Linked DNA regions of Elephas maximus indicus. The protein of the gene in region 3 interacts with the protein of the main gene of each other region in a pairwise test. Links are inferred from orthologs where the notes say so. Each region holds a gene or a part of one and is shown on either strand. Other genes may lie near its edges.

What was found.
Region 1: the proteins of WIPF1 (region 3) and FASTK interact in binary tests that used the Homo sapiens proteins (3 or more experiments, as listed by UniProt). The two-hybrid records come from large-scale screens. The link is inferred for Elephas maximus indicus from reciprocal best matches to the Homo sapiens genes WIPF1 and FASTK.
Region 2: the proteins of WIPF1 (region 3) and HOMER3 interact in binary tests that used the Homo sapiens proteins (3 or more experiments, as listed by UniProt). The two-hybrid records come from large-scale screens. The link is inferred for Elephas maximus indicus from reciprocal best matches to the Homo sapiens genes WIPF1 and HOMER3.

Annotation. Positions count from the first base shown.
Region 1 is NC_064838.1:12,133,273-12,141,184, reverse strand, and holds the start of FASTK (fas-activated serine/threonine kinase), read right to left. Parts: upstream 3,029-7,912; 5' UTR 2,925-3,028; coding exon 2,843-2,924; intron 2,747-2,842; exon of another isoform or gene 2,096-2,746; coding exon 1,673-2,095; intron 1,012-1,672; coding exon 832-1,011; intron 667-831; coding exon 527-666; intron 8-526; coding exon 1-7. Other genes in the region: TMUB1 (transmembrane and ubiquitin-like domain-containing protein 1), read right to left, coding at 3,780-4,131, 4,425-4,813. UniProt on the Homo sapiens protein: Phosphorylates the splicing regulator TIA1, thereby promoting the inclusion of FAS exon 6, which leads to an mRNA encoding a pro-apoptotic form of the receptor.
Region 2 is NC_064821.1:38,794,662-38,802,625, reverse strand, and holds the start of HOMER3 (homer protein homolog 3), read left to right. Parts: upstream 1-4,917; 5' UTR 4,918-5,022; intron 5,023-6,773; 5' UTR 6,774-6,829; coding exon 6,830-6,843; intron 6,844-6,918; coding exon 6,919-7,075; intron 7,076-7,270; coding exon 7,271-7,402; intron 7,403-7,964. UniProt on the Homo sapiens protein: Postsynaptic density scaffolding protein. Binds and cross-links cytoplasmic regions of GRM1, GRM5, ITPR1, DNM3, RYR1, RYR2, SHANK1 and SHANK3.
Region 3 is NC_064824.1:72,796,403-72,804,121, reverse strand, and holds the start of WIPF1 (WAS/WASL-interacting protein family member 1), read left to right. Parts: upstream 1-4,629; 5' UTR 4,630-4,797; intron 4,798-7,719. UniProt on the Homo sapiens protein: Plays a role in the reorganization of the actin cytoskeleton. Contributes with NCK1 and GRB2 in the recruitment and activation of WASL.

The DNA.
Region 1 (7,912 bases), on a different chromosome or scaffold from region 3:
GTACCACCTGTTGAGGAAAAGCAGTGCTTTACACAGCCGCAGTTACCCAGTGTCTTTTATGAACTGAAATTTAGGGAGCCTTGGTCCTCAAGCTTATAACGTAGTTGTGGAGGCAGACCCCATGCCTCTGCCCCCAACATAACACACCAGAAGTTAAGAGTATAAATTAAGAGTATAAGCAGTTTCTTGAGTCCCATATGATTAATCACCAGAGAGAAAAATCACTGTGGGGTCTGACCCTGATGACTTCAAAGGAGCGGGATCAATGAAGTCAAGATGGTGTTGAGTGCTTTGAAAAACTGCGAAGCACTGAGCACTCTGGTGCTTACGCTAAGTCAGACAGGCCAAGGAAAGGGTGTGAGCCAAGGTGGAAGCTCCAGGGCATTGAGCAGAGCAGCCTAGTGGGGGTAAACTGGCTGTAGGAAAAAAGGGCAATAAATCTGGACGGGGCTGGGCAGAGCTGGCCTGATAGTGGCTGAGAATGACCACAGTGAGAGGAGCAGGAAAGGGTGGGAGGCAATCCCACCTTGCTGTTGAGCTGGGCTTCCTGGACCACCAGGAAGTGGGCAATGGCTTCCAGAAGCTGGGGCTCCCGCAACCGGTGCCGAGCCAGGTGCTGGGCCAGGAGCACCATTACGTGAGGAGTTAGTTCCTCTGGCCTTGCCTCTGTGAAGAACAGCCTATCACGCTGGACTCTCAGGCCAGACCTCCAATCAGCTATGTTCCTACTCAGCCCAGACAACGCCATCACTGTCTCCGCCTCCTCAGCCCTTACCCCCCGACCCCCGCCACCTCCCCATCCCACCTGCCTTTAACTCCCCCGTCCAGCACCTGCCAGGCTGTGGATCAGATGCTGCTGTGGATGCCGCAGGAAATGGGGGCAGCTCAGAGCAGCTTCCAACCTCTGCCCACCACGAAGGACAGGCTGCAGAGGGGGAGGTGGCTTTGGGGGGAGACGGAACTTTCGCTCCTGCTCCAGGGCAGTCACCAAGGGCCCATCTGACGGAAAGCCTGAGGGAGAGGTTCAGAGGAGGCAGTCGTGGAATAGGGTTCTGCTCTGTCCTAATCCTGGGGTTAAGTTAGTGGATTCCCCTTTCTCATCTCCATTTCCTGATCTGGATGGTTGCTATAGTTTAAGCGGAAACACTAAACCAAAAAAACCAAACCCATTGCCGTCAAGTCGATTCTGACTCATAGTGACCCTACAGGATAGAGCAGAACTGCCCCATAGGGTTTCCGAAGAGCATCTGGTGGATTCTAACGGCCAACCTTTTGGTTAGCAGCCTGAACTCTTAATCACTGCACCACCAGGGCTCCTGGAGGGATGTAAAACACCATGGAAACATGTTAGTACAGCCTGTGCGGGAAGCTCTTATACAAAAAGGGCAAACAAGTTCTCATCTCATGCAATTATGACAAATTTTAGTGGCTTACTAGAGCACTACATTAAAGGGAATCTAGGTGGTGCCCCCCAAGCTGGAAAGAATGCTGTTTGACTCCTGACATCCATGTGGATAGAGAAGGGAAAGCAGCAGCCAGTGTGCCAGGGTATTTGCCATTCCTGGGCAAAAAGCCTAGAAGGTTAATTCTGTCTTAATCTTGGGTCCTCTACTTTTCCGTTAACTCCCCCTCACCCACCCACCAGAGACATCCTCCTCAAGCCTCTCCTCACCAAGTAAGACTGCAAGGTGCAGACACACATGGATGGTGTCAATGTCAAAGGAGGGACAGTTTCGGATGATGAGCTGACTCAAGTCCTGCAGTGTGACCTGCTCCACAGGAGGGGGTCCTGGCCGAGGCCCCAAGAGCTGGCCCAAACGACGGAGCGCCACAGGGTAGTGGTGGGCGCGCACCTTGGTGGGGTTCTGGCCCAGCCAGCGTAGTAGCTCCCCAGGGCTCCTCGCCTGTTCCAGAAGCCGCTGCAGCCCCTGCACGGGACCCGCATGGGGGCCTCCTCCAGATGGCCGGTCCCCCCACTTGCTGGGCCCCAGACAGCAGGGCTGTAATGGTGGGAGAAGCAGCAGACCAGAGAGCCGAGCAGAGGAGGCCTGGGCAGAAAGCAGGACTCGAAGCATGGAGTTGGGTGATGGAGACCCTGAGGGGCGGCCCAAAAAAGGGGGTGAGGTTTTCTCCGAAGGGGAGAAAGATCTGCTATCTACTCCTTACCTCACTCCCCATCCAGAGGGACCTGGCGCAGAGTGGCCCAGACCCAGACTCCTGGCCACCCTTCAGTGTTGACTGCTCTAAGTCTTCCCCACCCCGCCCCTCTTACTCCTGCGAAACCGGGTAGTGCTCTCAAAGCAGTGCCATTTACAAAGCACTTTCACATGCGTCATCTCCTCTGATCCTCCTTACAAGCCTACGAGCTAAGCAGGGCTGCCACTATCTTCGCGATTTCACAGATGAAGAGACCACGGCCGAGAGAGACAACAGGCTTACCCCCGAGGTCATATATCGGGTTGGTGGTCGCGCCCAGTCTGGAGCCCTGGTCAGCCCGTCCACACGTCCCCCCGACGGAGGCGACGGCGGCACAGAGGGTGGAACGCGCGGGCTTTGCAGTCGGATGGTCCTGGGTTCCATGCTAGGCGCTCCCGCTTACCAGCTATGTGACCTTGGGCAAATGGCTTCGTCTCTCTACCTAAGTCTCCTTACCTGTGAAATGAGAATGCAGCGCCCACCTGGCGGGGCGCCTGTGGAGCCCGAGTGCCCAGCTTTGCAGTGGCGCCGAGTTGGAAACGTCAGGGCCCGCACGCCCACCCAGGCCTCGGGAGACCACCGTCACGGCTGCAAACACGAATCCCGCCCCGCTCCCTCGTCCCACCCTAACAGGCGCCACCCCTACATGGCTCCCCAGGCCCCGCGCAGATCGCTCCCTCAGTCGGTCTCGGGGCCCGGGAGCCGGGCTCCCCCCGCGGCCTCCTCATCCGCGGGCTGCCGAGTCCGCCATCTTCCCAGCAGCCCCAGCACCGCCGCCCCGGTCGCCAATCCCAGCTAGGTCCTCAGACCGCAAGGACGTGGCTCCCGTCAGGCCCTGCGCGCCCGGGCGCCTCGAGCCCCGCCCCCGGCTCCCGGAAGCTGCGCGCGCGGCGCGGGGGCGGGGCCCGGCGAGAGGCGGGGCCAGGACGGCAGGCGCAAAAGGGGCAGAGAAGGGCAGGGCAGAGGAGAGACACCTGTCGGCTTGAAGAAGTGGAGCTGTGCCGGGGCCCACTGCATGTCCTTCACTCCCTTTCCTCCCAGTAGGCCAGGGCTCCCTGACCCACAGCCCCACAGCCCCACAGCCATGGGCCCCACACACCCAGGCACAGCGAGAGTGAAAACTTCAGCTTTTTAATCTGCACGTGTTCCAGAAAACCACCATCTGCTGCTCCCGCTCCCCTCCACAAGCGTCGCAGTCCCTGAGTCCCCAGGTCAGACGAAGGAGTATCAGGGACTGGAGGTGACTAGGTCCTCCTCTTCCAGAGCAGAGCACTAAAATGGGCCCAGTGGGGTTGCCCGACTCTGTCCAGGGCCTAGGCAGCGACAGCAGCTGCCTGACCCCGAGGAGCCCACTGTCAGTGGGAGCTGAGGGCCAGCAGCTCCAGGAGGGGGCTCGGTGCCATGGAGGTCACAGGGAAGGGCCTCTGCTGGCCCCCGGAGTCCTCGGCGGCGAGGGTCTGTGCTCCAGGACAGAGGGAAGAGGCAGGCCGGAGAAGCAGGCCTGGGCAGACAGCAGCTCCCACTCCGTCGTGGGGAGCAAGGTCCAGAGGGGTTGGCAGTGCTGCCCACTGCCCGTGGAGGGACTATGGGCGATACATGGCAAAGGCCAGGAGACTGAGAAGCAGAGTGAAGCCGGCTAGGCCCAGTGTGGCGGTCAGCGGAAAGAAGGGCCGGTACTGGATCTGGCAGTACCAGAGCAGTAGCAGCAGCAGAAGCAGCAGGGGCAGCAGCAGGCTGCCTATTTCCAGCCCGGAGGGGCCTGGCTCTGATCCCGGTGGGCAGGGGGGATGTGGGGGACCGGCCCGTGTGGACACGTGGCAGTGGAGAACACAGCTGGGAGGGAGGTGAAGGCTGCCCAGGGTCTGGGAATCGTCTCCTAGAAGTTGCCCTTGGTAAATGAGTCGAACCTGCTGTTCCCGGCCAGGAAAATGGGTCCTGAGGAGAGAGGGCCCTGGGTAAGAGAGCAGGCCTCAGCCAATCCTGGTCCCTGCCCTAGAACAAAACCCTGCCCCCCCTCTCTGCCCCACACCCCACCACCAGATCTAGCCTCAGTGGGGGCGGTCTGCTACCAGGGGACAAGGACTGGACCAGCATGTAACTTATGGACCTTGGTTCCTTCATTTTAAGGTAAGGGGGATGTCTCTGGTGGCCCACCCGGGTCTGTGACCACTCCCACCACATTCTTTAGCATTTTGCTCAGATCATCACCCCGCTGTGGCCCAGCTTACCTTTTCAAGGAGCCGATGGTGTCCTGGGGCCATGCCCTGGCCACCTGCTCTGAATCATTGAGGAATTTCAGCCGAAGCACAAGGGGCTCCTGTGGGGAGTCTGGTGGTGGCGGTGTTCCTGGGATGCCTGTGCCCGGCTCTGGCTGTGCAGCTGGACCTCTGTGTCTCAGGCTGGGGGCCTCAGCTCCGGGGGCCGCCCCTCTGATGCTATCGGTAGCTACCACGGCTTTGCTCGGCTGTGCTGAAGTTGGGGTCCCTGACGGCTGGGGCAGTGGGTCGGCCCTCTCGGCAGTGTGTGTTGAGACCCAGGCAAGGGCCAGCACCAGGAGGCAGGCAAGCACCGCAAAAAGGATGGTCACCTCGTCACCCACCCCTTCAATCAGGGCCATGGCACCCACCTTGCCCGCTGCGCTACCGAGCTGGAGAGGCACAAAGAATCCATGAGAGGCTGGCTCTCTGGCCAAGAGCCCTCTGAACGCACTCCAGCTCTCCCATAGCCCTTACTCCTCTGCCCCCTGTACCCAAGCCACATCCCGCGGAACAGACTGTTTGGACTCCCGGTCGCCACAAACTCCCCAAGGTGTTTTTCAAGGTGTCCCGCTCCACCACCAAATCGAAAGTCCTAACTTCAGGTAACCTGAGTTCTAAATCTCTTTAGCCAGGTCCCTAATTCACTCAAACCCCATCCCAAGGTAAGGACCCCGGTCTTCTAAGGAACTCCTCCCCTAAAGTCAACGCCCACCAAGCTTCACCCCACAGCTTATCTACTCCACCCTCTACTTCACCCCACAGCTTATCTACTCCTCCGTCGCTAAAGTTTCTTCAAGGGGGCGGAAAGGCCTCTATGCGCCCCCCGTTGCCATTCAGCCAAACCCCAACAGCTTCCTAAACTCCCCCACATCAAACGTCAAGCTCCGCCCCCAAGCAAGCGGCAGCCTCCGGGGTTTGCCACCCGCCACCCTCCTCGGCCCCCCCGACCCACGCCCACCCCAGCCCGCGGCGGGCCGACTCCGCGCGTCCCCGGGAGCCTCTCCGAGCCTACGCCGCAGCCGACCCCAGACCCGGCCCGGGGAAGGCGACACCTCACCCTCCCACCCCCGGCTCCTCCATCCACCTCCCATCTTCCCGCCCCCAAGCCGCTGAGGGCACAGCGATCCCGGGCGGGGCGGGGCGGGAGCGGGCCCGCGCGGTACTCACCGCCCAGCCCCGCCAGCTCCATGTCGGCCCGCGGGCACTTCCGGGCGCAGGCGCCGAGGCCGCAGGCACCTGCAGGCGCCCTCCTTCCCGGGCGGCCGGCGCATTGTGGGAGTTGTAGTCCGCGGACGGGCGCGGCCCCGCCCCCTCCTCGCGCCCCACGGAGGGCTTGGCCGGCTGCCCAGGAAGGAGGGTGGCTAAGGGGCCCGAGCGGGGCTGGCTTGGGGGTTGCGCTGGTCCCCAGAGGTTTGGGCGGTGGCTGGATCGACCCCTCCCTTACCAGCAACCGGGCATTTGTCCCTTCAGAAAAAAGTCAGCTGGAGCACCTCAGAGCGCCCTGTTCGAGATGCAGTAATGAAGGCTCTGGGGAGGTTGGACCCTATAGCTTTGCTGGCTCCTACCGCGGCCTACTCCATTGTTGGAGTGGACGCCAGAAGGCACCCCGGAACCCAGTACCCATGGACTGCCCCACCAGGCTGACTGAGGATACCACTCCCCAAGGCTGGTCCTTGTCCGTTACCTTGCACTTGTAGTACTGTAGAAGAAGCATGGACTTCAGAACCGCCAGAAACGCAGAATCCTTATCGTGCGTGTCAGCTATATGACCTTGGGAGAGTTATCTAATGTCCTTGAACTTAAGCTTCTTCATTCCTAAAACATACCTCATCAGGCAGCTGTAAATGAGAAATGAGATGTTTTACTAAATAAATATGAAAACCAAGTATCTGGACACAGTAGGTAGTTGCTCACCTGGTATCGGTGCACTCCGTCCACTCAAGCCAGGGCTCAGAAATTAGAGCGTTACTCTGAAGAGGTTGTGACCCCCAGCCTGGCCTGGACCAGCTAATTTCTGTGGGTTTTCCCTCCTTTCTTTAGGCTCCTCTAGCCACAGAGACCTCACTTCTTGGATGGTCAGTCTTGATTAAAAATAACCTACCCTAAGGTTCTCATCCACCACTCATTTTGTCAGTTTGTTGTACTGTGGTGGCTTGCCTGTTGCTGTGATGCTGGAAGCTATGCCATCAGTAGTTCAAATACCAGCAGGGTCACCCACGATGCAGAAATTTCGGCAGAACTTCCAGACTAAGGCAGACTAGGAGGAAGGACATGGCAATCGACTTCTAAAAAATTGATCTGTGAAAACCTTATGAATCGCAGCAGAACACTGATATAGTGCCAAAAGATGAACCCCTCAGGTCGGAAGGCACTCGAAATACCGCCAGAGAAGAGCTACCTCCTCCAAGTAGAGTTGACCTTAATGACGTGGATGGAGTCAAGCTTTTGAGACCTTCATTTGCTGATGTGGCACAACTCAAAATGAGAAGAAAGAGCTGAAACAACCATTAATAACCTGAACGTGGAATATATAAAGTACGAATCTAGAAAAATTGGAAGTTGTCAAAAATGAAATGAAATGCTTGAAGATAGATATCCTAGGCATCAGTGAGCTGAAATGGACCGGTATTGGCCATTCAAATCAGAAATCATATGGTCTAAAAATATACTGGTAATGACAAACTGGAGAGGAATGGCATCACATTCATTGTCAAAAAGAACATTTCAAGATCTATCATGAAGTACAACACAGTCAGTGATAGGATAACCTCCATATGCCTATAAGGAAGACCTGTTAATATGACTATTATTCACATTTATGCACCAACCACTAATGCCAAAGATGAAGTAAATGAAGATTTTTACCAACTTCTGCAATCTAAAATTGATCAAATATGCAATCAAGATGCATTGATAATTACTGGAAACAAAATTGGAAACAAAGAAGGATTGGTAGTTGGAAAACATGGCCTTCATGATAGAAATGATGCCAGAGATTGCATGACAGAACTGTGCAAGACCAATTACCTATTCATTGGAAATAGATTTTTTTCAACAATATAAATGGTGACTATACGCATGAACCTTCCCAGAGGGAATACACAAGAATCAAATTGACTACATCTGTGGAAAGAGACAATAGAGAAGCTCAGTATCAGTCAGAGCAAGGCCAGGAGCTAACTGCAGAACAGACCATCAATTGCTCATATGCAAGTTCAATTAAAAGTCAAAGAAAATTAAAACAAGTCCATGATAGCCAAAGTACAATCTTGAATATATCCCACTTGAATTTAAAGACCATCTCAAGAAAAGATTTAACCCTTGGACACCTTTTTAACTCAGCACTGAAGGCACTCCTGAGGTTCACCCTTCAGCCAAAGATTAGACAGGCCCATAAAACAAACGATAATACATGTAGCTCAACCATGTATCCAAGACTAAATGTGCATACCAGCCCA
Region 2 (7,964 bases), on a different chromosome or scaffold from region 3:
TAGGCTGCAACCAAACAAGAACACAGCCCCCGGATCCCCTTGGTGCCACCATCCCTGTGGCCTCCCCTCTTTGTTCCCCAGCTGTTCCTTCCAGGCCACAGAAGGAGAAGGGTAAGTGCAGACAGGTGGCAAGGAGGCAGCAGGCTGCTCTGCTCAAGGGCCGGGAGCTTCCTGTGGCTGCTGAGGCTCTACTGAGGTTCAGGACCTCTGCAACAGTTGGGGAAACTGAGGCTCAGAGAAAAGTCATAAGAGCTGAAACCCTACCCGGCGCCTACAGTGTAAATTCAATCATGTCCCTCTTTTCCCTCTTCGGCTCCAAAACCTCCCATGGCTCCCCAGTGCCCTCGGAATGAAACCCACACACTTGCCCACGGTCCACAAGACCCTGCCTAGCCCTTGTAACTCGCCTGTCCCCTTATTGTCCCCCACCACTCTCACTCTAGCAGAGCCAGCCTTCCTGCTGTTCCTCCAACACACCGAGTCTGTTGCCGTCTCAGGACCTTTGCACAGGCTATGCCCTCTGCTGGGAGCACCCTTTGTGAGTTATTATCCATGTCCAGGGATATGAGGCAAGTCGGTGGGAGTTGAGATTTGCAACCAGAGCCTCCTGACTCCCCCAGCCAATAGTGTCACATCTAAAACAGGCCTCCAGACTGGTCCGCTGGGAGCTGGCTGATCCTCAGCCCCTCCAGGCCCCATCACCAAAGACCCCCATCCGCACTGCTTAGGGAGCTCTGAGACCCACCCAACACCACATCCCCCAGCATCTACGATCTCTTTGCCCCACTTTCTGCCCTTCATATGGGAGGGTGGTGGAGCCTTCAAGGACAAGGCAGCCAAAAATAATCGGCCGACCTACCTCCCCAAAGTGGGACAGCCCCGCCCCACCACCTGGCGCCCCCGAAGTAATTAGCGCGTGTGGCAAATGAGGGTAATTAGGTTTTCCGGAAGTGAGCTGCAGAGCCTGGCTTGGTGCTTGAAGTGGTCTCGACTCCTTCCTCCCCGCCCTCTGCCTTGCCCTGGTGTTGGGCCCTTAAGTCCACAGCCCAGGGCCAGCACACTTTATCTGGGAAGCCTCCAGACTCTAGACTGTCCCCTGCATACCCGGCCCCTTCGTGGCTGGGCCTGAGCAGGCCTGGCTCCATTGTTTGCTGGGGGCTGTTTGTCAAAGTTGAGTTGGATTTGAATTTAAGGTGGGGTCACCATAAAGTGACAAAAAATCACCAACATTAGTGAGTCATCAAATTCTCCTCCACCCTGAACCCCATGTGTCTACCCTGTGCTGGAAGAAGCCAAGTCCTAGGGAAGCCTCAGTCCCGTCTGAGCCTCGGGGAGCCCTCAGGCTGGGGGAGTCAGAGCTGGGCACAGACACTGCAAGCTCCCTGGGGTCAGGGTGGACCAGAAGGAGAGAGAGGACTGGAGAGGGTCTGGAGGGAGAGGAGTGAGTAGAGGGTATTGGAGGTGGGGCTTTGAGGGATGAATAGGTGTTTGCCAGGAAGAGACGGTCTGAAGGCTGGTCCAACTGGCTGTGCCTAGGAGGGTGGTGAGAAGGAAAAGTGGAGAGCCTTGAGGGACACACAAGGGGCTAGGAGCTAAAGATTTAGAGGATCCTAGAGGATTTAGACTAGGTCTCTGGACGACACAAACAGCTTGCCCTCGTCTACTAATCTAAAGGTTGGTGGTTCTAACCCAACTTGCAGCACCCCAGAAGAAAGGCCTGGCAACTAGCTTCTCTAAAGATTACAGCCAAGAAAATCCTATGGAGCTCAGTTCTACTCTGTAACACATGAGGTCACCATGAGTCAGAATTGACTCAACGGCAACAGGTTTGGCTTGGACCAATTTCCTGTCCTCTAGAGCTCACATCTGCTTGGGGCCCTTCAACCTCTGAAAGAGAAAATGTTAAGAACTTGGCTCCGGATCAAAAACCGCACACCCAGACAGCCAGGAATATAATGATTCAAACAGCAAGTATTCATTGAGCACATAGAGTCAGCCCTCTTCATATAAGAATTCACTGGATCTTTATAGCAAGCTTCAAAAGAGGGTATCATTCTTATATCCATTTTACAGATGGGAAACTGAGGCACAGCAAGGGAGAGTGACTCCTTCCTGGTCACACTGTTGGTAAGAACCGGGGCTGCAATTCACTCCCTGGCCCTGGACTCTGGAGGCCCCTGAGGTCCAAGGTTAGGGCCTGGGAATCCCTTCGGCAAGCATTTCTGAAGGTCCTGCTACAGGTCAGGCTTGATCTGGGTGTTGCGACAAAGCCATGGAAGAGGTAGACAGTAACCAAATCATGCCGTAAACAGATTTAAAGTGGCCACTGTGAACCAAGCCATGAGGTTGTATACACGGCCTGGGGGAAGCGTTACATCCCCTCACATCCCCTGTCTGTCAGGAAGGCAACCTCTTCAGGGAAAAGAGATGATTTAGCTTCAGTCTGAAGGTTAGGTTGGATTTAACTAGGCAGGGACAGGGTCTGACCCATAAAAGTCACTCTACAAATGGCAACTTCCACAGAGCCAAGCAAACTAGTCTGGCCACTGCTTGATTTCTCCTGTGACAGGAAACTCATTCCCTCACTCCTTTCCTCAGCCTGAAAGGAAAGCTTTTAGTTATCCTCCCTGGGGTGGTGGCCCACAAAGACATGCCCAGTCCGTTGGAAGAGAGGTCCCAAGGCTTAGGCAGAGGAGGGCTCAGGCTGAAGTGGGGTCAGCAATTCAGGGCAGCCCCCTGCCCATCTATACCCACAGAAGGGTAAGGAGCTGCTGGTTCACCTGGATCCTCTCTACTACCTCCTCCCTGAGCCCTGTAAGCATTAGCCCATTCTCCAAGTGAGAAAACTGAGGCCTACACTGAGAAAGCCACTTCCTCCATGTGGACCTGGTGGAGACACCTTCAGGTTAGGGCTGCTCAAGGCACACCAAGTTCCAGGTACTCCTGGAGCCCCTAGAGGAGGCCCAGGGAAGCCATGTAACTCCCTCCTCCTTGTCACACTGTTGCTTTCTGCCCACACCCACACAAGGAGCAACTTCGGCCTGGGCCTCTCGCCCAACTGCCCCCACAGAATGGATCATGTGGTCCTGGTTCTGCAGCCAGCCAGCCCCTTGGCAAACCCTCAGTGGCTTCAAGGAGCCTCAGCCTGGCCAGAACCTTTCCCATTTATTTATTTATTTTATTATTTTTTTTGGTAATAAGGAAAAAGTCACTCTTTGCACAGAACAGACGGTATTTTCTTTGTTCCCCACAGATCTCGCGCCTTTCGTGGCATCAGGCCTGAGAGCCAAGCCAAGTACTTTGCTTGTTCAGATGCCTCATGAAGTTAGAAGCAGCTGGGGGAGACAGAGTTTGCACCTCGGTTTCCCCAACTCCGGTGAGCAGTCCCTCCAGTGCTGAGTGAGGCAGGGGCTGCAGGGGGGACTGGTCCTCAAGGAAAACTCACACCTGGGCCCCACTGATATAAACAGGTAACTTGGCTCAGATCACAGGAAATGGATGGTGGGTTGGGAGGAAAAATAAGGTCCCTTCCAAGCCCAGGATATTCAGAGAAGCTTCTCTGAGGAGGGGGCAGTAGAGTTGAGCCAGGAAGGACCAGGCAGAATTATGCTACAGGGAGGGTCTTCTGGGTGGAGGGAACAGCTTGGGCAAAGGCCCAGAGGGAGGGGGATTCTGATCTTGGGCTGGGAATGTCTTCAGAAGCAACAAGTCCTGGTATTCAATTATTCACCTAACGGTCTTTGAAGGTAGCTGGCAGCTACCTTCACGACCCATGCCATGAGGCTGAACACACAGCTTGGGGGAAGGTAACCTCCCCTGATTGTTCTTGGGGAAAGGAAATGAAAAAAACAGGGAAAAGAGATGAGAGCACTCCAAGGCCTTGGCAGATCAAAAGTCAGAACCTCTGAGGGTGTTGGAAAACTCACGTGTTAGGTTTGGAGCTTCAGGGAACCCAGGACTTGCTCTGAGTCCAGTGCCTCTGCCCACCCACCAAATGTCCCTTTGCAACAGGACTAACCAGTGAGCCCCACCGGCAGGCTGGGGCTAGCTCAGCCACCCCAAAAAGACCTGCTTGTCACAGCTGCAGGAAGGGGGAGGCACCTTGAGCTCAGAGAGTGCAAACCCAGGGCTGCCACCTGGACACTGACAGTCCCTCCACCCTGGACCTCGGACCCTATAACAACAGCAGTAATTATCATGATCCCCAGTTTATGGGGTTGTCTTTGGGGAATCAGAGGCAGACACGCCCAGGCCAGAGGGATCAGGGCTCGGGGAAGAGCAGGCAGGATCCTGAGCAGGTGCCCCAGGCCAACCCCATTAAGCGCCTACTGTTTGCCTCTCTCTCTTTGTCCCCCTTCCACTTCTTCTGGTCCAGATGTCTTAATTTCCCAGCAACACTCAGGCATCCCCAAGGTGGGTAGACCTGCCCCTGCCTCAGGACCTTATGGAGTGACCTGACAGGGGGGACCTGACCGGGAGGGACCTAACCCCCATCCCAAGCCTAAGGTCATGACCCGGGGCAACCAGGGCAGCTGGCAGCAGTGACTTGGAGGGTTAGGGTGGGCCCCCAAGTGGTGACTGGAGGCCACAGTCTCTGTTCGTCTCTTCCTCTGTGTCCTTCTGTGTCTCTGCCTATCTCTCTACCTCTGGGTGTCCTTGTCATCCCAGATGTCTGTTGCCGTCTGTCTGTCTGTCCCACCCCCGACCCGCGCCCAGCTCCTCTCTCTGCTCCTCGCCCCCTCCCTGGGTTTCCCCCCATCACCCCTGCCTACCGGCGCACTGGGCCGCCAGCAGGGGCGCTGCGGGGAGCTCACGGGCCGGGAGGCGGGGCGGGCGGCTGCCGCGTCGGGACCGGCTGCGATGGGACCGGAGGCGGCGCAGGCGGCGGCGGCGCGCAGACAAAGGCGCGGGCGGCGGGCAGGCCCGGAGCGAGGCAGCGGCGCCCGGCCGGCCCTGCGCGGAGTTGGTGCCGCCGGGCCGCACCCGACTCGCGCCCGGACACTCGGCGGCCGACCCGGCAGGGTGAGCCCCGCGAGACCGACCGGGGTGGGGACATAAGACCGTGAAGCTTCGGGGTCGGGAGGGGTGCAGGGTGTCCCCAAAGTCGAGGTCGAGAGATGGCGAAGGGGGCTGCGAAGTTCTGGACCCGGGATGGAGGGATGCAACGCGGCGGTCCTCTAAGTTCCGGACTCGAAACTGGGGGGCGACGCGGGGTCCTTGAAGTTCCGGACTCTAGGTCACCGACTGATGGAGGTCCCCGAAGTTCCAAACTCAGAATAGCAGGTTGTCCCCGGGATCCCCGAAGTTCCAAGGTCGGCGCGTTCTGAAGTTAGGGCGCACACGGGGTGCCCCGCTCCTGGCACGAGTGGGGACCCCGGTCCTAGCTGAATACCAGGCCTCCTGGGCTGGGGTGCGCGGAGTGGGGCCTCTCCTGCGGCAGGATTGGGGATCCCCGGTCACCAGGCAGGGTCGGGCCCCTCGGGGAGCCCGGCGCAGGCGGCTGGCGTCCTAGGTGCGTGACTCGGACATGAGTAACTTTGCCTGAACGCCACAAGTCAAGGCAAGAGCTACCGCGCTGGATGCGCCTGAGTTCAGAGGACTCCGGCGTTTCCCAACTTGGCCGGCCCTGGACCCGCCCCCAGCCCCGGCCAGAACGGCCGCCCCTCCCCCAGCCCAGGGACTCGGGTTTCAGACCTGTGACCGGGACAGCAGCTGCCCATGACGGGTGGAGGGGGGCACCCCCGCTCTGACCACAGAGACCGCTGGGTCAGGCTCCCCTCCCCCCGCAACTTCCCCATCCTTGGCCTCTCCCAGGTCCCCTCAGACCCCCTGGTTGCAGGTTTGGAGCTGCAGGAGGGGCATCAGGAGGTCTCCTTCCAGGCTGCTTGTCCTGGCTTCTGTAGGGTGGTGGCTAGAGGAACCTACTAAGAGGCTGGGGAGCCCAATCTCCTCTATCTGGAGTCCACCCTGCACCTAGGGTGGACCTGTGTGGCTACATCTTATCCTTCTGATGGAGTGGTGGTCTCTCCGGGGATTTGGACTCTGACTCCTAGTGGTGCCACTGCCCCAGGGTCAGAGCTGGGGATCCCTCATGGGTCCAGCAGGGTCTGGCCTCCCACTTGGCACCTGGGCTTGGCCCACTTTTTGCTGGTACACCCTGGTTTGAGACGTGCTGGATGCATCTGGTGGAAAGTAGTTTCCCCTCAGCCTGGGATTGCGGGGGCTCACAGGATATCTCCAGTGACCAGGATGGTGGGGGGTTCATGATGGGATACCAGGAATGCTGAGAGGAGACCTGCTGTCCTCCCCGGGCCCCTCAGGCTCCACTACATCTGACTTCCCCTAGAGAGGCGTCTCCTGCCACACATGATGTGGGGGTTCCCTGAGATGGGGTTGTTGTTACTGTTAGTTGCCATTGTGTGGATTCTGACGCACGGGACCCACATGTGCAGAGTACAACTGTGCTCCGTAGAGTTTTCAAGGCTGTGACCTTTTGGAAGTAGATATGAAATAAACCCAAACCCACTGCTCTTGGGTCGATTCTGACTCATAGCAACAATATAGGACAAAGTAGAACTGCCCCATAGGGTTTCCAAAGAATGTCTGGTGGATTCGAACTGCCAGGCTTTGGGTTAGCAGCTGTAGCTCTTAACCACTATGCCACCAGGGTTTCCTGGAAGTAGATAGCCAGGCCTTATTTCTGAGGCGCCTCTGGGTAGGTTTGAACTGCCAACCTTTTGGTTAGCAGTCCAGTGCTTAACCCTTTGAACCAGCAGCTCCTGCCCCTCCTCTGGCCACCCCTTGGAGCCTGCCCAGCCCAGCCTGACCAATGTCCACAACCAGGTGAGCACCCCCTCTACCCCGATCCCCAGCCTTCCCTTGTGCAGCTCCACCCCGCTGAATGCCCTCTTCCTCCAGGGAGCAGCCCATCTTCAGCACACGAGCTCACGTATTCCAGATTGACCCAGCCACCAAGCGGAACTGGATCCCCGCGGGCAAGCACGCCCTCACCGTCTCCTACTTCTACGATGCCACCCGCAATGTCTACCGCATCATCAGCATCGGGGGTGCCAAGGTGAGGCGGATCTAGGGGTAGGGAGCACCAGGGGTCCCTGCTGTGTGCCCCCTGGCAGGGGGTAGCCTGCATCTTCCTAGGCTGCAGTCTCCCCTCCTGAAAGAGCTCAGAGCAAAGCCTCCGAGCCCTCCTCCAAAGTGATGCTCAGAGCTTTTCATGTTTGTTATTATCGGTCCCTTGAACTTTGCCCCCCAGGCCATCATCAACAGCACTGTCACCCCCAACATGACCTTCACGAAAACTTCCCAGAAGTTCGGGCAATGGGCAGACAGTCGTGCCAATACAGTCTACGGCCTTGGCTTTGCATCTGAACAGCATCTGACCCAGGTAGGTCTGTGGGAAGGGACTGGGAGGACAGGATGGGCCTGGGACTTTTCCTGGGTGAAGTGGGCACTTGGGACAGTTCCAAATGGGCACATGGAATTGGACCAGCCTGAACACCTTCCAGGTCCCTGAATGGTACAGATGATTTGCACTGGACTAACCCTGGTTGTGCAGTGGTTAAGCACTCAGCTGCTAACTGAAAGGTCAGCGGTTCAAACCCACCAGCACCTCTTCGGGAGAAAGACCTGGCAATCTGAGATTAGTTAGATCTTAGAGTCCTAAGATTATGGTTTAGGAAACCCTATGGGGCAGTCGTACTCTCTTCTATAGGGTTGCTATAAGTCAGAATCAACGGACGGCACACAACAACAACACTAATTCAAAGGTTGACAGTTTGTATTCACCCAGTGGTGCCTTGGAAGAAAGGCCTGGAAACCTGCTTTTGTAAAGATTACACCCAAGAAAACCCTACAGAGCAATACTACTCTGTCATGTATGGGGTCACCATGAGTCAGAATCGACTCTTCTGCAATAGGTTTTGGTTTCCTTGAACGCCTTTCAGCTT
Region 3 (7,719 bases):
AAGAGCAACTGTTCTACCTATATCTCTCTCCTGGCTTCTCGCCTGATAAGAAAACCAAACCCATGCTGTTGATTCTGACTCATAGTGACCCTATAGGACAGGGAAGAATTGCCACATAGGGTTTCTGAGACTGTAAAACTTTATGGAAGCAAACTGCCATGTCTTTCTCCCATGGAGTAGATGGTGGGTTCAAACTGCTGAACTTTCGGTTCGTAGCTGAGTGCTTAACCACTGCGACACCAGGTCTAGCCCATCCAGTGCCCTCAAGTCGATAGCAGCTGTCTGCAATCCTTGGTGTTCCTAGGCGTGTAGATTCATCTGCCTCCATCGTCACATGGCCACCCTCTTCTGTGTATTGTTGGGGAAAATAATTAAAAACAAAATCTGCTCCCAAACCAGAAAACCTCTCCACAAAAGCAGAAGAGAAAGAAAACAGTTTTCTTATTGCATAAACCCTAAACCAGAACACAGTGGCAGTCTGCTAAAGAGATTGCAAAGACAGAAAGGAACCTGAACCTTATATAGGCAAGCAGATGCAACCCATTACATACGTGCTCTCCAGATAAAGGATAAGAAGCTTGACAACACCGTTTATCTCAGATTCACCTGGTTATAAGGGTAGCCACCAGCGTTTGTTAATGGCCAAAGGAAAAATAAGCTGTTGATATCTTTATAACAGAAGGTAGTTTTAGAGCTTGAAGCCCACCAAAGTTAGGCTTTTACCCTCCCACAGAACTTGAGGGCCAGAGGAGCTACTTCCTTACTAATTACATTTGAAAAAGATGGCTCCCAGCTCCCTCAGGAAACATCCCGGGGTTGTAAAACTGGCAGGAAGATTATCTAGCCATTCAGGAGGACTTCTCAAGAGGCAAAGAATTTACAACTACAAGACATCTAAAGTAAATGCTCAAAAAAACAGGGAAGGGGAGGTCTTGTCTTTTTTGCATCAGGGAATATTATGTATACTTATTTTTTTCTCTTCAATTTGCATTTACCCTTATAGTATCTCTCTGTGTCTGCTCTGCTGTTTTCATAAGACACCATTCAAAGGAGATTAGGATTCAGAATCCTACTCCCGTGTGACCACCTATTTCCAAATAGGGTTATATTCACAGGTACAGGAGTCTGGTCTTCAACATATCTTTTGGGGGGGAGGACACAATTCTATCCATAACACATGGCAACAGATAACTAACGCAAGGAGGTACTATTACAATCCTCATTTTGCAGATGCAGAAACTAAGGCTTAGCTACCTGTCCAGGTCACACAGTTAAGAAATGAAAAAGCCAGGATTGGTAGCCAGGTGACATGACTGAGAGCCCATGTGTTTAAGCACTACACTCATAGCCTCCTGATGAAACTGTCTACGAAGAGAGTTTAATTATTTACAAGAATTAGGTATTTAATCCTCATACACTGTCATTGGAAGTATAACTTGGTACTGACATTTTGGACAGCAACTTGGTAATATCTATCAAAAGGCGCAAACCCTTTTACCTTGCAATTTTACTTCTAGAATACTTATTTATAGAAGTACATAGATGCACAGAGATTTATGAGAATGAATGATTATTGTGCATTTTTTTAAAGGCAAATAACTGGAAGTAACACATACGCCTGCTAATAGGGGATTTGGTTAAATCATGATACACCATGCAGTGAAATAATATGTACCTATTAAAAAGAATGAGGTAGATACATATTTAGGGAAGTAGGAAGATAAATATTGATATCTGTAATAGGCAGACTTCTAAGATGGCTCCAAGATTCCTGATCCCTGGTTTATGCACACTTATCTCGGGTGATCCCCTCGCCGTCAAGTCAATTCGGACTCATAGCAACTCTATAGGTATGTAGGGTTGCTATGAATCAGAATTGACTTGATGGCAATGAGTTTGGTTTTTGAAACCCTGGTGACATAGTGGTTAAGAGCTACAGCTGCTAACCAAGAAGGTCGGCAGTTTGAATCCACCAGGCACTCCTTGGAAACTCTATGGGGCAGTTCTACTCTGTCCTACAAGGATGCTATGAGTCAGAATCGACTCAATGGCAACAGGCCTTTTTTTTTTCCTCTCAGGTACTCACTCAAATACTAATCTAGGTGCTGCTATGAAGGGACTTTGCTGATGTAATTAAGTGCCCATGGAGTCCCTAGGTGGTGCAAACAGTTAAGCACTTGACTACTAGCCAAAAGATTGGTGGTTTGAATCCACCCTGATGTCAGGCTGATACCTCATGGTGAGTCTTTCTGGCCTGGCCAATCCCTACCCAAGAGTCACCTCACTAGCATAAACTCTCAGGTGTAATCTGTAGCCTTACAGATAAAAGAAACTTCAATCACTGGGAAGATTCCAAGGTTTTATAGATTATCTTTAGGGACCAACCGCAAAGAACAAATTCTTTAAGTAAACTTAATTTCCTTAACCCACGGCAATGATTTAAAATAATGGACAATTCAGAACACCATTTATTTTTGGCTTTTGATAATGAAATTATGGGGGAGGAGCATGTATTTTACCTTCCTCATTTTCTTCTACGTACACTAATACAAAAACTCATAATATGGATCCCTGAAAGGCATAAACCCAAGAGAGTTCTTGACCCAACAAATGTTTAATCAATCTGTTAAAAAGTGCCAGTAGCTTGGCTGGACATTGGAAAATCAAAGATAAACAAAGACCCCTGTTCGACTTGTGTGCCACTACTCTGCTCATTTTTGGAAGAATTATCCCATTTAATCCTTACAACAATCCTAGGAGGTAGAACTACCGTCTCTATTTTACTGGAGCAGAAATTGAGGTTTAGAGAGTATCTTAGTCATCTAGTGCTGCTCTAATAGATACACCACAAATGGATGTCTTTAACAAAGGGAAATTTATTCTCTCACTGTCCAGTAGGCTACAAGTCCAAATTCAGGTCATCAGCTCCAGGGGAAGGCTTTCTCTCTGTCAGCTCTGGAGGAAGGTCCTTGTCATCAATGTTCCCTTGGTCTGGGAGCATCTCAGTGCAGGAACCTCAGGTCCAAAGGACGTGTTCTGCTCCTGGCATGGGTATGAGGTCCCCATGTGTCTCTGCTTACTTTTCTCTCTTATATCTCAAAAGAGAATGGCTTAAGACACTATCTAATCCTGCATATCTCATCAATATAACTGCCACTAATCCATTTTATTACATCATAGTGACAGGATTTACAACACATAGGAAAATCACATCAGATGATAAAATGGTAGACAATCATGGAATCATACAAGGGAATCAAGACCTAGCACAGTTGACAGATATTTTGGGGGGACACAATTCAATCCATGTCAGAGAGCTAGAAGGGAAACCAGGCAGCTCCTGGGCTTAACTTGCAGGCCACACTGTGATTAAGTGCCACTGATTTATTTTCAAATCTGGAACTCTTGATATATTGATATTTGGAATCACTTGCCTTCTTTTTATATAAAACATAATAGGTGTATGTTACCTTAGAAATGGTATAAAAAGAAAGGCAAATATATAATGAATCTTAAAATGATGGGCACATTTAGGGAAAAAATCTGTCATGGGAAGAGTTTAGCCATGTTATTAAATCTTCCCAGAAGGGTTACTGTATCTGTTAAAAGCATGTGCAGATACAAGTGTGCACATGGGACTAGTGAGGGAGCAGAGAAAGCATGGAGTCAAGGAGAAACAACCTCCTCAGCCTAGGATAGCAGGTCTCAAGTGCAGATATCCCTGCCTTTTCTGCTTTTATTCAAGGGGATACACAGCCTTGGCATTTTAACTATATGATTAAATGGTTATTATATTGATAATAACTTTTTGTTGTCCTTCTAATGCACACATTCTACTGTGTCGTCGTCTTAGTGTTAACTTCTCTTTGGGGTCTGGGGGTGGCAGCCTTCACGGCCAGTCAGAGTCTTGTAAGTATGGGTTTGCAAGATCTGGCCTCAGATTTCTCTGTTTACTGTTGATCACAGGAAGGTCATATTTGAGGATGTGGGTGGCTGATGATAAATCCAGCCCCACTAACTGCAAAACGACTGAAAGATTCCCCTTCAGATAGGCGGATCTTTCCAAAGAAAAAATAGCACTATGTCCCCACATAGTTGAGGGGAGGAGATGCCTGTGGACCTTGGGCCTCTTTGGGTGCCACGCCTGTGACCCACCAGAGGGGGAGGGCAGGAAGGAACAGCTTTTACACCATTTTTAAAAAGAAGTTTAAGATGTCTCAAAACTGGACCCTCTCTTTTGTGAACAGGGGAAGGTGATGGGAAAAGCTTTCCCTGCAGGTGGGGGAAGAGGGACCCCCAGCAGCAGCGGAAGCTCAGAGATGAGGCCGGTATTTGGAGAAAAGGGCACCGTGATCGGACTCTCCTTCCCGGTCTCGCTTCTCGGCAAACCCTTGTCCCGGACCCCACAGTCTCGTCCCTTCACCGAGCAGGAAAGGGGGCTGGGGAAAGCAAGAGCCCTGGCCTCCTACCCACCCGTTCCCGCCACGATCCTGTGGGAACCGAGGCTGCGGACGCAGAGCCTCAGCACCAGGCCGGGAGGGGGTCCGCCCCCAGCACAAGGCCAAGGCCCGCGGCGGCGGCCTCGCGCGCGTCCACATGTGGCAGGCCCGCCGGGGGGTGGCGGGGAGCCGAGGGGGAGGGTTTACTTCACGGCGAAGTTCCCGGATGGTCGCAGCCTCCGGGCGCTGAGCGCTTTTCCTCCCGCCTGGCTCAGCCCTCGCGGACCGGGGGAGAGGTTTCCCGGAAAAAATGCCCGGCGCGCTGCGGGGCAGGGGAGCCGCCCGGAGCCGCTGCGCGGTAAGGACGCGCCGCCACCGCCGGGGGCGGGGTTCCGGGGTCTCGGATAGCCCCAGGGGGACCCCGCGGCCGCCGGGGCGGGCCGGCTCGACGGCGGGGCTCTGTAGCGCCGTGCGGCACGCAGTGGCGCGGGGCGGGGGCGCGGGCCGTCGAGGCGGGGTCCCTGCGGGCGGCGGGCGCACGGGGCCCGCTCAGTCTCCCGGCCTCGGGAGGGAGGGGCGCCATTCCCGGCCGGCGCCTCCTGCAGGCCCGGCGGGTTGTCCGGGGAGGAGGGCTCCAGACGTGGTACCGCGGGCGGGGCGCCCCCTGAGCCCGCGGACCTCGGCCGCAGCAGTTACTTAGCCGGGATGCGCAGGACCCGCATCTGCACCCCGCCCGGGCGGGCGGGGACTTTCGGGCGTCCCCGGGGCCAGTTCACGCGCTGGAGCCGTCGTCCTCGCGGTGGGAATCGCGGCTTCTCGGCGCTCGGCTCCCAAACTGGCCTCCCGCCGGGTGCTCTGGGACAGCCGGCTCCGCGGGTCGGCGCAGACGCGCACCATCTATGTGTCGGTTGACTGGAGGCGCTTCCAGTTCCTGGCATAGTTTTCGCCAGGCCTGTGCCGAACCCTCGGGACAGCTTCACCTCAGTCTCGCTCCCGTACCTCTCGATATTAACATCCTTTTCTTCTTCCTTTTTTTTTTTTTTTTTAAATAACAGTTAAAAAGAGTTGCAGGTTTAAGAGAAACCAGCTAGCCTCGGTCGGGGGTAGACTTTGAACTCTTTGAGATTAACAAAGGGTGTGTCTGTGTGAGGAATTTTTGGTCCTACTTTTTATTCCATGAATAGTCCCTCTGGGACCACGGGCTCATTGCCCTGAGTTCCCTGGGAAGCCTCTCGAGTTGTCAGCAGTGACTGGGTGGACTTGGGTCTCTTTTTCTGAAAGCGCGTCTCAGTTCGCCCGCCCCCCCCCATCCCACCCCCGGATCTTCACTGGACGCCTCATCCTCAGACTCAGGCTAGTGGCAGCTGCAGAGCCAGGACAGATTCCCCACCCTGACTGGGTTTTCTTTTACCGGTTTCCCAAACCAGAAAACAATACTGTAGCTTCATTTTCAGTCGTTGGCTTTTTTTTTTTTTTTTTGCCCACCTCGAAAGCACCCATTTCTATAACGGATAAAATAACTCCCTAAAAATTTCCTATTTCACTTCGTAAATCTTTTTTTTAAACGGATTTAAAAAATTGTGGTAAATTTTACATAACATTAAATTAACTATTTTAAAATGTACAAATCAGTGGCATTTAATACTCTCACAATGTCGTGCTAAAAAAAAAAAAAATGTTGTGCTACCATTTTGGAAATCACCCTTTGACTTTTTGAGGTGAGAGAACCCTGAGCAGGCTATCAGCACCTTGCATCTTAATCCCTCCTTACGCTGCCTCCCACTGTTGCCGTGTATTTGCCTGCCTGTCATCCCCACAAGGTTGAGTTTCTCAGGGACGGGGTGTGATGTTATTCTCCAAATCCCCAGCTACCTCTGTGTTATATGTTGAATGGAAGTGTGCAGAGTAGAACCTGCAGGTGTTAGTAAAAATTGTCTTCCTCCCCTGGATCTACCCAACCCCTGCCATAATAATTTTGGCTCCCGGAGAAGCACACGAACTTTCAGACTGTGATATAGAGGAAAGAAATTTGTAAGCAAAGTACAGATCTAATCCTGGGACGTTTAGAGAGAATGAGATCACTTCCAGCTTGGTGTGGGGATGGGGGGGATTGATGTCTTCTTTCACTTGTTTGTTCATTTCACAAATTGTCTCCTGTGTGCTCAACCATTCCCTGGTGCTCCTAGGCATATCATGCAAGTTGAGCCTCAATTATCTCTTCCAAAAAGTGGGGTTGATAACCTTTGCTCTTCCTCCATTAAAGGGTGTGAGGAACAAATGAGATAATGGGTGTAAAACAGCAAAAAGTGCCAGCACGAGGCCACCCAGACACCATACAGTGTGGGGCACCAAGACTTAAGAGTGTTAATGAGCTAAAAGGTGGTGGGAGTGAAGAGAAGGTGGTATTTATTGTCTCAGTTGCTCTGGTAAGGGACGAACCCATTTTTGTGGGCAGTATTACATACTGGGTTTGTGTCACTGTCTTTGGTGTTCCAAGGTGTTCCTGGCTGTTGTAATTTTAGGTACATATGTGGTGTTCTGGGTTGAATTGTGTCCCCCCAAAACATGTGCTGTAAATCCTAACCTCTATGCCTATGGTTGTAATCCCATTTGGGAATGGGTTGTCTTTGTTATGTTAACAAGGCAGGATTGGTGTAGAGCGTGTTTTGAGTCAATCTCTTTTGAGATATAAAAGAGATTAAACAAGCAAGGGAAAGAAGTGGAGACGGGAGAAGAGATGCCAAACCACATGAAGATTGCCCAGGAGCAGAAGCTCAGAAGAGACAAGGACCTTCCTCCAGAGCTGACAGAGAAGAGCAAGCCTTCCCCTAGAGCTGGTGCCCTAAATTCAGACTTCTAGTCTTCAAAACTGTGAGAAGATAAATTTTTGTTTGTTAAAGCCACTCACTTGTGGTATTTCTGTTACAGCAGCACTAGGTAACTAAGACATGTGGCATCTACAGTGCACATCAGAAAGTTAATAATAAACAAAAGTGCATTTTATTTCTTGTGATTATCAGTTGCCATTTTTTTTTTTTTTATTGAGTCAGCCCTGAATCATGGTGACCCCATGCAGAACAGAACAGAACTGCCTGGTCCTGCCCCATCCTCATGATTGGTTGTAGATCAGACCATCGTGGTCCATAGGGTTTTCACTGTCTAATTTTTGGGAGTAGACCCCAGGCCTTTCTTCCTAGTCCACCATAATCAGGAAGTTCTGCCAAATCCAGTTCAGCATTACAAGACATAATGCCTCCACTGACAGATGATGGGTGGTGAC